Nothobranchius furzeri: one gene and its partner. The protein of the gene in region 2 interacts with the protein of the main gene of each other region in a pairwise test. Links are inferred from orthologs where the notes say so. Each region holds a gene or a part of one and is shown on either strand. Other genes may lie near its edges.

Evidence for each region.
Region 1: the proteins of poli (region 2) and rev1 interact in a two-hybrid assay, tested with the Homo sapiens proteins (2 studies listed by BioGRID). The link is inferred for Nothobranchius furzeri from reciprocal best matches to the Homo sapiens genes POLI and REV1.

Annotation. Positions count from the first base shown.
Region 1 is NC_091754.1:26,371,677-26,377,719, forward strand, and holds the start of rev1 (DNA repair protein REV1), read right to left. Parts: upstream 3,601-6,043; 5' UTR 3,494-3,600; coding exon 3,292-3,493; intron 2,754-3,291; coding exon 2,585-2,753; intron 2,510-2,584; coding exon 2,114-2,509; intron 2,037-2,113; coding exon 1,258-2,036; intron 1,182-1,257; coding exon 1,083-1,181; intron 1,004-1,082; coding exon 887-1,003; intron 812-886; coding exon 694-811; intron 626-693; coding exon 497-625; intron 417-496; coding exon 262-416; intron 191-261; coding exon 71-190; intron 1-70. UniProt on the Homo sapiens protein: Deoxycytidyl transferase involved in DNA repair. Transfers a dCMP residue from dCTP to the 3'-end of a DNA primer in a template-dependent reaction.
Region 2 is NC_091750.1:42,536,787-42,542,746, reverse strand, and holds the start of poli (DNA polymerase iota), read right to left. Parts: upstream 4,138-5,960; 5' UTR 4,028-4,137; coding exon 3,949-4,027; intron 3,885-3,948; coding exon 3,765-3,884; intron 3,692-3,764; coding exon 3,527-3,691; intron 3,146-3,526; coding exon 2,999-3,145; intron 2,845-2,998; coding exon 2,608-2,844; intron 2,501-2,607; coding exon 2,322-2,500; intron 1,614-2,321; coding exon 1,522-1,613; intron 1,425-1,521; coding exon 1,291-1,424; intron 1,106-1,290; coding exon 885-1,105; intron 1-884. UniProt on the Homo sapiens protein: Error-prone DNA polymerase specifically involved in DNA repair. Plays an important role in translesion synthesis, where the normal high-fidelity DNA polymerases cannot proceed and DNA synthesis stalls. Favors Hoogsteen base-pairing in the active site.

The DNA.
Region 1 (6,043 bases), on a different chromosome or scaffold from region 2:
AAAACAGCAACTGTTAACTACTTCACAAATGCTAACAGGTTAGTACTCGTGAGCCGGATGAAACGTTAACCTGGTAAACTGGTAACTGGTAGATCCCTGATAAAATCGTCCACTTCTTCAGATTTAAGGAAGTACTGCCCATTGGGTTTGGCCTTACGGGTCGCCAGCCGAGCCAAAAGAATGTTAGACCCTGAACAGATCACAGTTTGATTAAATACAACTAAATATACAAAATATTCTAGAGGAAGAACCCTGGCTCACCCATCCCCACTGAAGCACAGCATCCTGTTTTCTTCTCGATGTCTGCTCTGATGGCTCTGGCCAAATCCTCCGGGCCGACTCCTACCTCAGCGAGCAGAGCAGAAGCGTCTACCAACGCCTCGTCACAGCTCAGAGCCTCTATGTCACGAGTGTAACTGCATTTCATGAAGTTATCAAGTCAATAACAAACAAACAAAAAACAAAGTGATGATTTGAAGGATTTCAGCTTTCTTACCTCGCTAGGATCTCATACATGTTTAGAGCCACCTCTCTATAAGCCTCAAAGTCATAAGAAACAGCCTGCAACGAGGGGCACAGCTGCTTCGCTTTGCCAAAAAACATCCCGTTCCTCACTCCCACCTGCCTGGGATGGCGAAAACACATATTAAACACTTATTTATTCAGCTAATATTAGCTGTGTTTAAATCATACCTAGCTTCGTAACTACAGGAAGCGATCTCCGCCATGGAGAGAGCCGCGGCATCCGTCTCCGCTCTGCTGTCGCAGGAGTTGGGCCAGCCTTGCGAGGGAGTCCCCAGTAGATCCTCGTCTGATCAGCAGCCACGTTACAGTTTGTTACGACAGAACTCTTTACTTCACGCTTAACAGGGCGGAAAAATCTCACCTGGCTGAGGATGAGTGTGTTTCCTCTGGTAGTACTGCTGCTCCGCCTGCGGGTTAGCTCCAGGCCTTATGGGAACTCTACCCTGTCCGCGGTTGCTGGTGACAGCTACGGGCTTCCCTGCAGGAAAATTCAAAACAAAAATTCAATGTCTAACTTATGTATAAGCGTGTATTTAGAGAGGCAAAAAAAGACCTGCCTTTAAGATCCGGTCTGTGCCGGATCCCGACAGACACAAAAAAACAGTCCATGTCCACATGGAGGATGCATGACTTGATGCTCCTCGGTGCTGATGTGCCTGAAACAAACAAAACAAGATAAAAACGCAGCTGCTAGTTCACAGAATGAATCAACAGAGTGGGCGACTTTCATACCGCGGCTGCCCGTTGGTCGCTGACTTGTGAATTTCTTCAGTCGGTCTCTTCCAGGGTAGGAAGCCACTCCCGGCGCTTTCGTTTTGCTGTGCAGCTCATTGACGTACTCAGAGAAGCTGATCCTCCACGTGGAGATCTGATGCAGACGCGAGTGTGAGTAGAACTCCGAGATCAGACCGCCCGTCTGCTCCAGCAGATGCTCCGAGGCCTTGGACGGAGACTCGCCGGCGGGGGGGTCGGGCTTGGCTGTTACGGAGGCCGTGCCGAGGAACGAGAGGTCGGATGAGAAGGCATCGCGGTGACTGCCGTTCGGTCGAACTGAAGACTGCGACAGAGAACAGGATGAAAGGGACAGATGAGACTGCTCAGAAACTGTTTGGACCCGAGTTGAGAGGAGACGTTTGGGTGGGAGTTGGGTTTTGTTGGCTTTTGGAGACTCAGGACAAGCGGGCGGAGGAGTTCTATGGCCATCAGGTGATGCGTCAAGCTTTGGAGGGCTGGGGGGGAACTCATACGGGTCACACTTGTTCTGTTTCAGAGGACTTTGAGGTTTATCCGTTGAACGCTGCACTTTACTTTTGGACCCGATCCTGTAGTTGGGATCAGTTCCAGAGGACAGGTCCCCTGACTTTAAGGCACCGTTGACAAGATGAGCATGTCCATTAGTAAGGGGGGCTTCATTCACCCCAAAAGAACAAAAGTCATCTTCTGTACACTCCTGCAGCTTTTTTATTTTGGAATGGCTCGTGTTATCCACAGAGGTCTGCAGTCGCCCATTTCTGTAGTAAAGAGACAGAAAATAACTACAAGTTCTCCGTGATTTTAGCTGAAAGCCTTTGCTAGTGCATGTACTCACATTTTAAGGTCTTCTTCATGCAGGTGGGCAGGATGCGAGTGCTTTGTGCTGCACTGGTTGTGTGTGAGTAGATCTGTGGTGAGCTGATTGGGTCTGGGGTTCACCGAGCGAGCTCTGCCACTGTGCAGGGTGGACAAGGGGTCAGCTTCAATGCGGGTGGAGACAAGGATGGAGTTGTTCTGGCAGCTGGACAAGGACCTTTCACTGTGGGGAACAGAGAGCTCAGTGTTGCGCTGTGGCGAACGCAGCTTCTGGCGAGCGCTGGTCTGAAGGGGAAGGTGGCCGGACCCGGTGGCGGTGGAGCTGCGGTGCAGGATAACGCCGGGGAAGAGTGTGCTTTTCTGTTTCGTGTACAGCTGGTACTGGAAATAAGGCAGGAGGCGCCCAGCCACGACACTGTCACAAACAAGCAGAGTTTCAGCTAAAACCGATTAAGCGTCACACGTCGACACTCTCCAGCACCAAACACACCTGTCCGTGATCCACTGGGGCCGGATGACCTTTTCCCCTTTGAGCTCCTGAATCTTGGAGTTGGGTAAGTTGCTGGCGATGATGTGAGTGGTGTTGGAGCGCGAGTAATAGAGATGGAACTGACCCCCGTGTAGCATCATCAGTTTGCGGAGCTCGTCAGCGCTCGGATCTGACGGTAAAACGAAAAGAAACACATTCATTCATAAACTAGAACCTAAAGAAAAGATAGTCTTTTTATCGTTGTTGGGGGATCCTAGACATTCATTTAAAATAATTAGAGAAAAACATGCAAACTCCAGAGAGACAAGCCAAGCTCTGAGGCGTTCAGAAAGCCTTCAGCAGCCTCCTGACATGAATAACAACAGGATCAGGAAGCAGCGCTGCCTTGTTTCTCCATGTCGACGCTGTTAAATCACACTCTCTCCTTTCGATTCGCCCATATGAACGTCAGGCGTTCATTCCTCTAAAGAATACTCTCTTTGGACTTGATTTATGGCCTTGATCAAACCCTTGCAGCATTTCTTTTTTCTTTGTTGCAGAGTTAAATATTTCTTAAATCAATCCTGAAGGAAAAAGCAGGAAGAAGCTTCTGAGCCCTTGAAAACATTTTCTTTTTGCTCTTAAAGGTCAAGAGGAGAAACTGTGACTGGAAGACAGCAAACAAGACTTTTATTACACACTAGATGGGGACTAGTGCAGAGTGCTACCTGTGTATCCGTTGACGTATATGGACACACCGCTGAAGATGCTGGAGCATGTTCCTTCCTTCTGCTTCTCTCTAGGGGCATCACGTTTAAACTGCTCGTCGAGCTTGGAGACCTTGGCGGCCATGTAGCCGCCCTGCAGGAGAAGGAATGTATGAAATAACAGAAACACAGCTGAGACTTTTCTGTGGGCATCACGATCCATCGTTATTTTCTAACCTGCAAAATAACATGTAACGTTGTGTGCTGCAGATCCTGCAAACTGTCTAACTCACAGTGGAGCTCTGACAGCTGTAGGAGAGTAATACTCACCTTTTCACCCCAACCATTATCATCACCAGTATTAGCTTTCTTCTTCATCCACCCATCTCGACTCATACTGAGCTTCCTGTAAACAGAAGGAGACCAACTCTCAACACAGGGACACTAGTAGAAGTAATCATTAATCGATTGGCGGATATTGGCCATTGGTATAAATGTGTATGTGATCATTTATGCACGTGCATGAGATTTTTACTTTTTCTTAATGTTTGCATTGCTTTTATGCTCTTTTCTTAAACCAAATTTGCTGTTTTTGTTCTTATTTTATGCGTGTTTGCTTTTATTGTGTTTTGTTTGATATTAAATACTTAAGTAGATTTACTTCACTACTTAATAAAAGATGCACCGATTCTAGTTTTGAAGGCCAATACCGGTTTCCAATGTTTACACAGCTCTGACCTGCTGATGCAAAATGTAACCAGTTCTATAGATCTCATCAGCAACATGTATTTATTTTGTTTCATCAGTTTGCTTATCAATAATGAGCTGATGGACAGATAATTTTTTTTTATTATTATTGCTTGGTAACAATGCCTTAACGGATGAAAACATGTAAAATTTCAGACACAGTCATGAAGAATGATGGTCGAGTCCAATCTCAAGCTGATTATTTTTGTGTGAGTCTTTATTGTGCGTACTTAAATAATAAGGTGTAGATGCAGCCTGGTCACATTTTAGTTTTCTCAAACCAGAATTCACCTCTGTATAAATGTTTATTTCTTTTTTACACGTCAAAGTGTTATTAAATACATGTTAAAATCGATCAATTTCGTTACATTTTGTTAAATGAAAAAACAAATACACATTTGCAATGTTTGTCAGCCACGGATAGCTTTGATTTCTGCAGATCGGCATTGGTATCTGCAACTGAAAAGCCCACATTGGTCAACCTGTTGTCACAAGTCAAAAAAGCACTCAGATCTCAAAGCAAAATTACTTTAAAGTTATTAATAAACCATGACACGTTCCTACCTGATGACTGAAGAAACTTGCTTATAAAACTTACTTTTGCACGAGCCGGGTGACACATTGATGACATGACAGTCATGTTATGGAACTAATATTCATGTTTTTAGCTATGACTGTCCTGTGAGAGACGTGCCCGGGCAGATTTCACCCACTGACAGGTTGGTCACAACAACAACACAGCTCCATGTGGCATTCACGGGTCAGCTGCTAACATTAGCCTAGCTGCGGTGATCCCTGCCTGCTCCTGAACGTCGCTGCGCCACAACGTGAGAAACATGCCAGTTAAATGAAAACCAGTGGAAGTGTTTTCACCGCACTTGCTAACAACGCTGTAAGAAACAATGAACGAGGTGATTGATTGTGCAACTTAAGCGCGGAGCTAATCGTTGTAGTAAACAAACAGCGGTGCTGGAGTGTCCGCTCGCCAGGAGAAGTCAATAGTTTTTACCTTTAAAGCTGTCAGGCGAGGTTGTTGGTCACAGACTCCTCTCTGCAGATCCTGCTCGGATCAAACGGTGCGTGCTCTCTCTCTCTCTCTGCTTTGGGTTAAACGAGGTAAACGCAGAGCGAAATGAAAATTCTCCAGGCAGGAAGCTCGATGCCACGGCCTCGACTTTGTTTTTCGGAATCGTCCATTTATGGTGGCGAGATTCCTTTATTGTGTCATGCAGCCACGCCATGTCTCCAGAACATTTAAGCTCCCAGTCCTTTCGCTCTCCATTACAGCCGCCTGTTCCATTTACCTTCTCTTTTCTCTCGGCTAGCCTCAAAGCCAGCGGTAAAACAACATACACTTCCGGTACCGTTTTTCAAAACAAGATGTGACTAAAACAATGTGGCAGAGGATTTTCAATTCAGCAAAATTAGAACATTTAGTTAAACCGTATAGATTGTACACAGTTGGTAATAATTAGTGATTTTCCACCAATCTGCTGTGCCATTTGCTTTGTATCACACAGCACATCTTTATCACAAGAAAAGTGTGCTGGATCTTTTTCTTGGACAGTTTCTGGTAAGTATAATAAATGCCTCACGCTGTATAGCACGGCAACTGCAACTGCCACTATCGGAAGAACGCAGATCATTTACGTGACAAAAAGTCAAAATATCTTATTTTGAAAAATTGAGACATGCCAGATTTCCGGTTTCGTGAAAGTCGCTGATGATTCCCGCCGGTTTCTTGTGTTTCAACTTCATGTTGTGTCGTAATACTGCCACCTAGTGGAGTGACATGTCAAGGCATTGTTGCCAGCCCACAGTGTCGTTCAGCGCAACCAGAATAATTTATTCTCTTTTGGACAACAAATGCCAACTGAAGGTCAAGAAAACATTGCGTTAAACTGTTTCACCGAGGGAATAATTTTAGACATCAAAATAAAGATTTTTGTTCTTTGCGTCACTGATTGTTTTGTTCCAAATAACCAATTTTGTCCATTCATTGTTTACCTAATAGTTGCTTTGCTCT
Region 2 (5,960 bases):
GGAGCTTGTCACCTGCTGACAGCAGGCTGCTGTCTTTTCCGAGGACTGCATCTTGCCGGTCATTATCACGTGACAGCGACTAGTCGATGACAGGCATAAAAAGTCACTATAGAGCGGTGAAGTCGACTAGTGACTAGTTCATACAACCCCTGCTACTGCTCTCCAGAGTGTTCGGCAGCATAATCTGCACATTCTCTTTGAACTTGATATCAAACTTTCGCCTCCTCTTCGTCTCCGCACGGTTAAAGTTACCCTCGCGGTCTGTCACTGGCAAATCAAAAGTGAGACGGATGACACAACCGCCCCCCGTACTTGCTTGTTACCACATTCCACCCGGCCACAATTAAAAAACGGCCATTATTCACCTCCGCCGACACCGACCAAAATATGATACCCGGCAGTTAATTAAATACAGGCTAATATTAGAGGATTTACGGTAAGTTGCACTGGACTATAAGTCACATTTTGGGGGGAAATATTATTATTTTTCTTACAAAATCTGAGACCAAGCATGTCACAAGTACCGGTAACAATAACAGAATAAACAACGCGGGCGCAGCAGCGCGCCACGGTCTCCAGCAGAGGATGGCGGGGCAGGGGAGCTCATTCCTGGTCCAGAGCTGGCCCGCAGCAGCGCGGTATAGCCTACATAATTTGGTATATAAGTCACAGGACCAGACAGACTATGAAAAAAGAGTGACTTATAGTCCAGAAAATACAGTATTTATTTAATAATAAAAAAGTAAAAATATGGTAATAGTCTTTAAATTTTCAGAAAAATCCTTTAAAAATACACAAAAGGTACAAACCACCTTTAATGATATAAAGAGGAGAAATGAAGAGCTCATTTAAATGACAGAATCTGTAGATCTTAAACACACCACCTGGTTTTGTGACGGTAAGAGATGGGGTTTTCTGGGGGATGCGTTCTGCGTGAAGAACGATGTGATGGCGCCCCTCCCGCTCACGGCCGCCCCTCTCGTCTGCAGGTTGCTGAAGCAGACATTTATGAGTGTGAGGTGAAAATCAGCACTGCTGTCCACCATCTTCTGGAAAAGTTTCATAGCCATCGAAACCAGCTGGACCACAGCTTCTTCTCTGTTTTCTGTGGAGAGAAAATAGAAAAACTTTTATTTTTAGGTGGTTTCAGAAAGCAGGAACAAATAAAACTCATCTAAAGTTCAGGAGAAGAGGCTCTCACTGCCTCGAAATAAACACTGAGATTAATCCGGAAATGTGTTTCAAACCAAACTTGTTTCACTAAATAAAAGTAGATCAAAGTGGCCACACCAGAGCTGATCTTCTGTCCGATGCTGTTGGGGATCGGGCACTGGCGGCTCTCCCGACTGAACCACTTGTTGGTCGTCGTGAATCTTCGGATTGTAAGCCTGAAGGTTTGAGGCTGGCGGCCATCTTTCTGCATCCTGGTTTTTATAAAACAAGACAAAGTAGAAGCGGCAAGTCTTCATTCAAAGATTAGAACCATGGATCCATTGATGAGGTGCTGAAACTGGTCCTGACCTTTCTACCAGACTGCTCAAGAGCTGCTGAATCTTTTCCACAACTTCTTTAGTTGAAGACATTTTTTTGAAGGAATCTTCATCACTGAGAGACTGAACGATGAAGAGGACATTAATGCAACTGATAAACACCATTTCCTGATCAAGCAGCATCTAAAGACAGATTCACACCAATACATTGATAGTTTCTGATATGTAATCTTTATTATTGGAGATATTGTCCTTAGTTAAACCTACTTTTATTGCATAAAATTAATGTCAGTGTAATAATCCTACAAAATTCTACTTAAAGAGCAAGTCACCCCCTACCAGAGCATTACTCCACTCCCACTTCCTGTTTGAAAAATGCAACAAATGCTGTTACCTAGCAGACAGAGAAGGCGGAGCCGCTAACAAATACACACAAACAGGCTCACAACGACATTGTGACATCATATGGTACCAGCTAATGTCCTAGGTTACCTCTTAGCCAATAGCGATGGCAGATTAAAATTCAAATGCAGTGCAGAGTTTTCCCCGACAACGGCACAACACCGACAGTTTTAAGCAGAAAATTTAAACTTTAACTAAAATGCACTAAAGTGCAAAACTATTGACTACACGTGTCTGCAGCACGATTAGACACGCGTTTATATAGTTTATCAGAAAAATAAAGTTGATTAGGGGGTGACTTGCTCTTTAAATAGACATAAGTCCAAATCTATTCACAGCTTCATGGCGGTCATTTCTAATATATGATAAATAACTAAATGCTACTTAAGGATAAACGTGTTAGAAAGTCTTTGGGGCCTCTAAATTCACCTGAGGGGCTCCAGAGGGGGTGACAGGAGAATCATCAACACCTAGCACCAGATTCTTCAAGCGCTGAGCCGTAGGACCTCCAAACTGCTTCGCTAAGTCGTTTAAAGGGTAAACCTGCAGGTCTTTAACACTGACCAATCCCAGAGATTGAAGTTTTTTAGCAGTTTGGTGACCCACGCCTGAAAGAAATCACAGAAACACAAAGTTGTTATTTAATACACAAATTAAAGTTTTTTCCACCCTTAAATACCAGCTCTGAATCAGAATATTTTTCTAACGTGCATACCCGGTACTTTTCGGAGGCCGCTCAAGCAGCCCATAATGTCGCCAACGTTCTCCTGCAGTAAAACGGTTTGCTGGTTTGGTTTGAAGGTGCCAGAAACAAGTTTGGCCAGCAGCTTGTTTGTGGCGATGCCAGCACAGCCAGTCAGGCCGAGTTTGCCGCGGACGGCTTCTCTCAGCTCTGCTGCGATGTGAGAACCTAAAGCCAACCTGGGGTGGTCGCTGGCTTTAGCATCAGCACCTGAGCAAGAACGGAGAAAAAGAAAAAAAAATCTAAAATGGAACGGTTAGAGTGACACTGAAAACGGCATGCAAATACGTCACAAATGAACTCTTTCACAAGTTATCTTTCAGTTTCAGTGAGCCAGATGTGCAGCGGCAGACACACAACTCACTGGAGTGATTGTAGACGCGTCCTTTGAAGGAAAAGCAGCCAGGCTCTGCTGTCTGTTTGAGCTTTTGTTCCACCATCTCTGTGACATCCATGAAGTTTTCATCAAATCCAAGCCTCTCAACCAGGGGACAATAAGACATCAGCAGCTCTGAAAGTGAAGGTGAGCAGAAAACATTTATAATTTATGCATTTTTGATGTTAACTAATTTAAACATCAGCTTTTTTCTCCCCACAATAACAATAACAGAAGACAAGGACACATTTCTTGTAGCAGCTCAGCTGCGATATAAATTTGTATCTTCTTTACTGACTTCTGTGACACTTATTTTTAATTTTCCAGTTTTGATAGCAAAAGGCGCTCTTTTATTATTATTTTTTTTTTGGCTGCATATGATAGTTTAAGGTTTAATGTGCTTCCTGTTGGGATTTAATAACTAAAATCAAACAGCCAACAGCACATTTTTCCCCACAAAAATCAATCTGATGTGTTGGAGGATATAAAATTCTCTAAATAGGTAAGAACGGCTACCTGTCACTTTATAGGACATTTCTCTGTAGTGTGTCAGGTCTTCTCCGTTAACCAGCACCAGCTCGGGACACTTCTCCTTTGCGTCAGAGACAGACATCAGCTTGGTAACACCCCGCCCCCTGGCCATGTAGTTACTGGTGACTATGATGTATTTCTGCTGAACACCTGAAGACAGAAGTGTTTAACCTTCACAGAAACTCAGCAACTTTAATATTCCATAATAATATTTTAGGTTTACCTAAAGGCACGCATCTCAGAGCTGGATTTCTTATCATTTCCACCTGAGCGTAGAAGCAGTCCAGGTCAAAATGCAAAATGACTCTGTGTGAAGGAGCTGATGATGCTTTAACAGCTGATCCTGAATATAAGACACAGAAGTTATCTTCAAATCAAGCTGAAGCACCAAAAACTTACAATTTTACCAGAAGCGACTGAGGAGGTGGAAAAGAGAGCTGCTGAATCCACGAAGGAGTTTTTCCACTCGCTAAGTTCTTCCTCCATCTCATCGTCGCTATTATTGATTTTAAAAGACTAACGTGATGGCGTTAACATCACGTTCAGCATAAATACATGCTTTTGTTATTTTGTTTACAGACAGTTCCGCTGCGCGTGTGCGCAACAGCGCCACTGGCCGGCCCGGAGAAGATATTGCAACACACCAAACAGCCAAAGACATCAGGAGAGAAAAAAAAACACATAAAAATGTATGAATGTTGATAAACTTTACAAATGTTGTTTATATAATGTAAATTCCGCATTTATATCAGGGCTTCCAGCATTTGCAAAACTCTCAGGGAACTGTTATTTTACTTTATTTGTCTTTTTTTATTTTATTTAATTATATGCAAAATGTATGAATATAAATTTATAAAAACTGCTAAAAAACTGAACTGTCTGGAGCACTATAGCTAGCTGGGCTTAGCACTTTCACGTCACAAAAACATAGTGTTTTCTGTTACATAAATACAGTTAATAATTATGTTTACAGCTAAATAAATATAACAAAAGAAAAAGTATGTTAGCGTTGAGAAGATCTTTTATATAGAGCCTCTCAAGATAAAAATCACGAGGTGCTTCACAAAAACAAAACAATTAAAGTATAAAAATATGTTTAAATGACTAAAAATATGTTTAAAAATAGAAAAGAACAAAAAATAAATAAATTAGAAGAAAGGAAAGGGAGAGAGAAAATGAATAGCGAGACGCCTTCATGCTGCTGCCAAAACGTTTTAGTGTTTTAATAAGAAAGATTTTACAGGAGGAGTTTCTTCTTCCTCTTTCTCGCCATGGGAGCGGAGGAATTGTTTTGGACGCCTATTTTCAACTTCTATCTCTTCTACTGGTGTAAATAATTATTTTCAGTAAATTTCCTACTTTATGTTTTTATTTAGTAATTTTAGATTATATTTAGTCATATTTGACATTGCTTTGCCATTTTTGTACTGTTCGATCACCCGTAGTTTTGTCTTTTTTCGGCTGCGTTTTTCACTGAGGCTTTTTAGTTTTTTACGTTAGATTGGTTTTTGTAAATAAACCAGGAAACCTTCTAGAAAGAGGAAACTTCTCTCAAAAGTTGTTGATGAGGAGCAAGATGTGCCCACATTGTTTTTCCATCCCAAATGCAGTAAGTATCTCTGCACTAAACCCGTTCCAGTTTCTGTTGTCTAGTATTTCTGCTAATACTATTACTATACTATTATATACTATTACTGCAACTTCCAGAAAAACAAAAGGTCCATGTACATCTGTGGTGAGGATTCAGGTGTGGATGAAGATGATTTGCCATCACAGCTACAGTATATTTATCTACAGTTTAATTAATTTTTTTTTACAGTTTTCATTTTCTAGTATTTACCAGTTATAATCGGTATGTTGCTCTTGAGGCTAACAACAACAATAACAACAACAACAACAAACAATTTCCAGTCAGTCGTAGGTTGCAGTGAGGCAGCGTGATGAATCATGGAGAGGAGGGAACAAGGAGTGGACAGTAGAGAGGGGGGACGGGTGCAGGGAGGGTGCTAGTTTAGAAGACGCTCTGTGAAGAGCAGGGTCTTCAGGAGTTTCTTGAAAGTGGAAAAGGAAGCCCCTGTTCTTGTAGCGCTTGGTAGGTCTTTCCACATTTGTGGAACAATGCATGAGAAGAGTCTGGATTGTCCCGAGCGTGGCGTAGGCTCTGCTAGCCGACGATCTTGTGATGACCGGAGCGGCCGAGCCGAGACGTAAGCCTTTGCAAGAGGATTCAGGTGGATGGGAGCCGTGCCATCTCGGACTTTGTATGCTAGTGTTAGCAATTTGAATTTGATGCGTGCAGCTAGTGGTAGCCAGTGGAGCTCAATGAACAGAGGGGTGATGTGTGCTCTTTTTGGTTGATTGAAGACCAGACGCGCCGCTGCGTTCTGGACCATTTGAAAAGGTCTAACAGTTAGTGGTG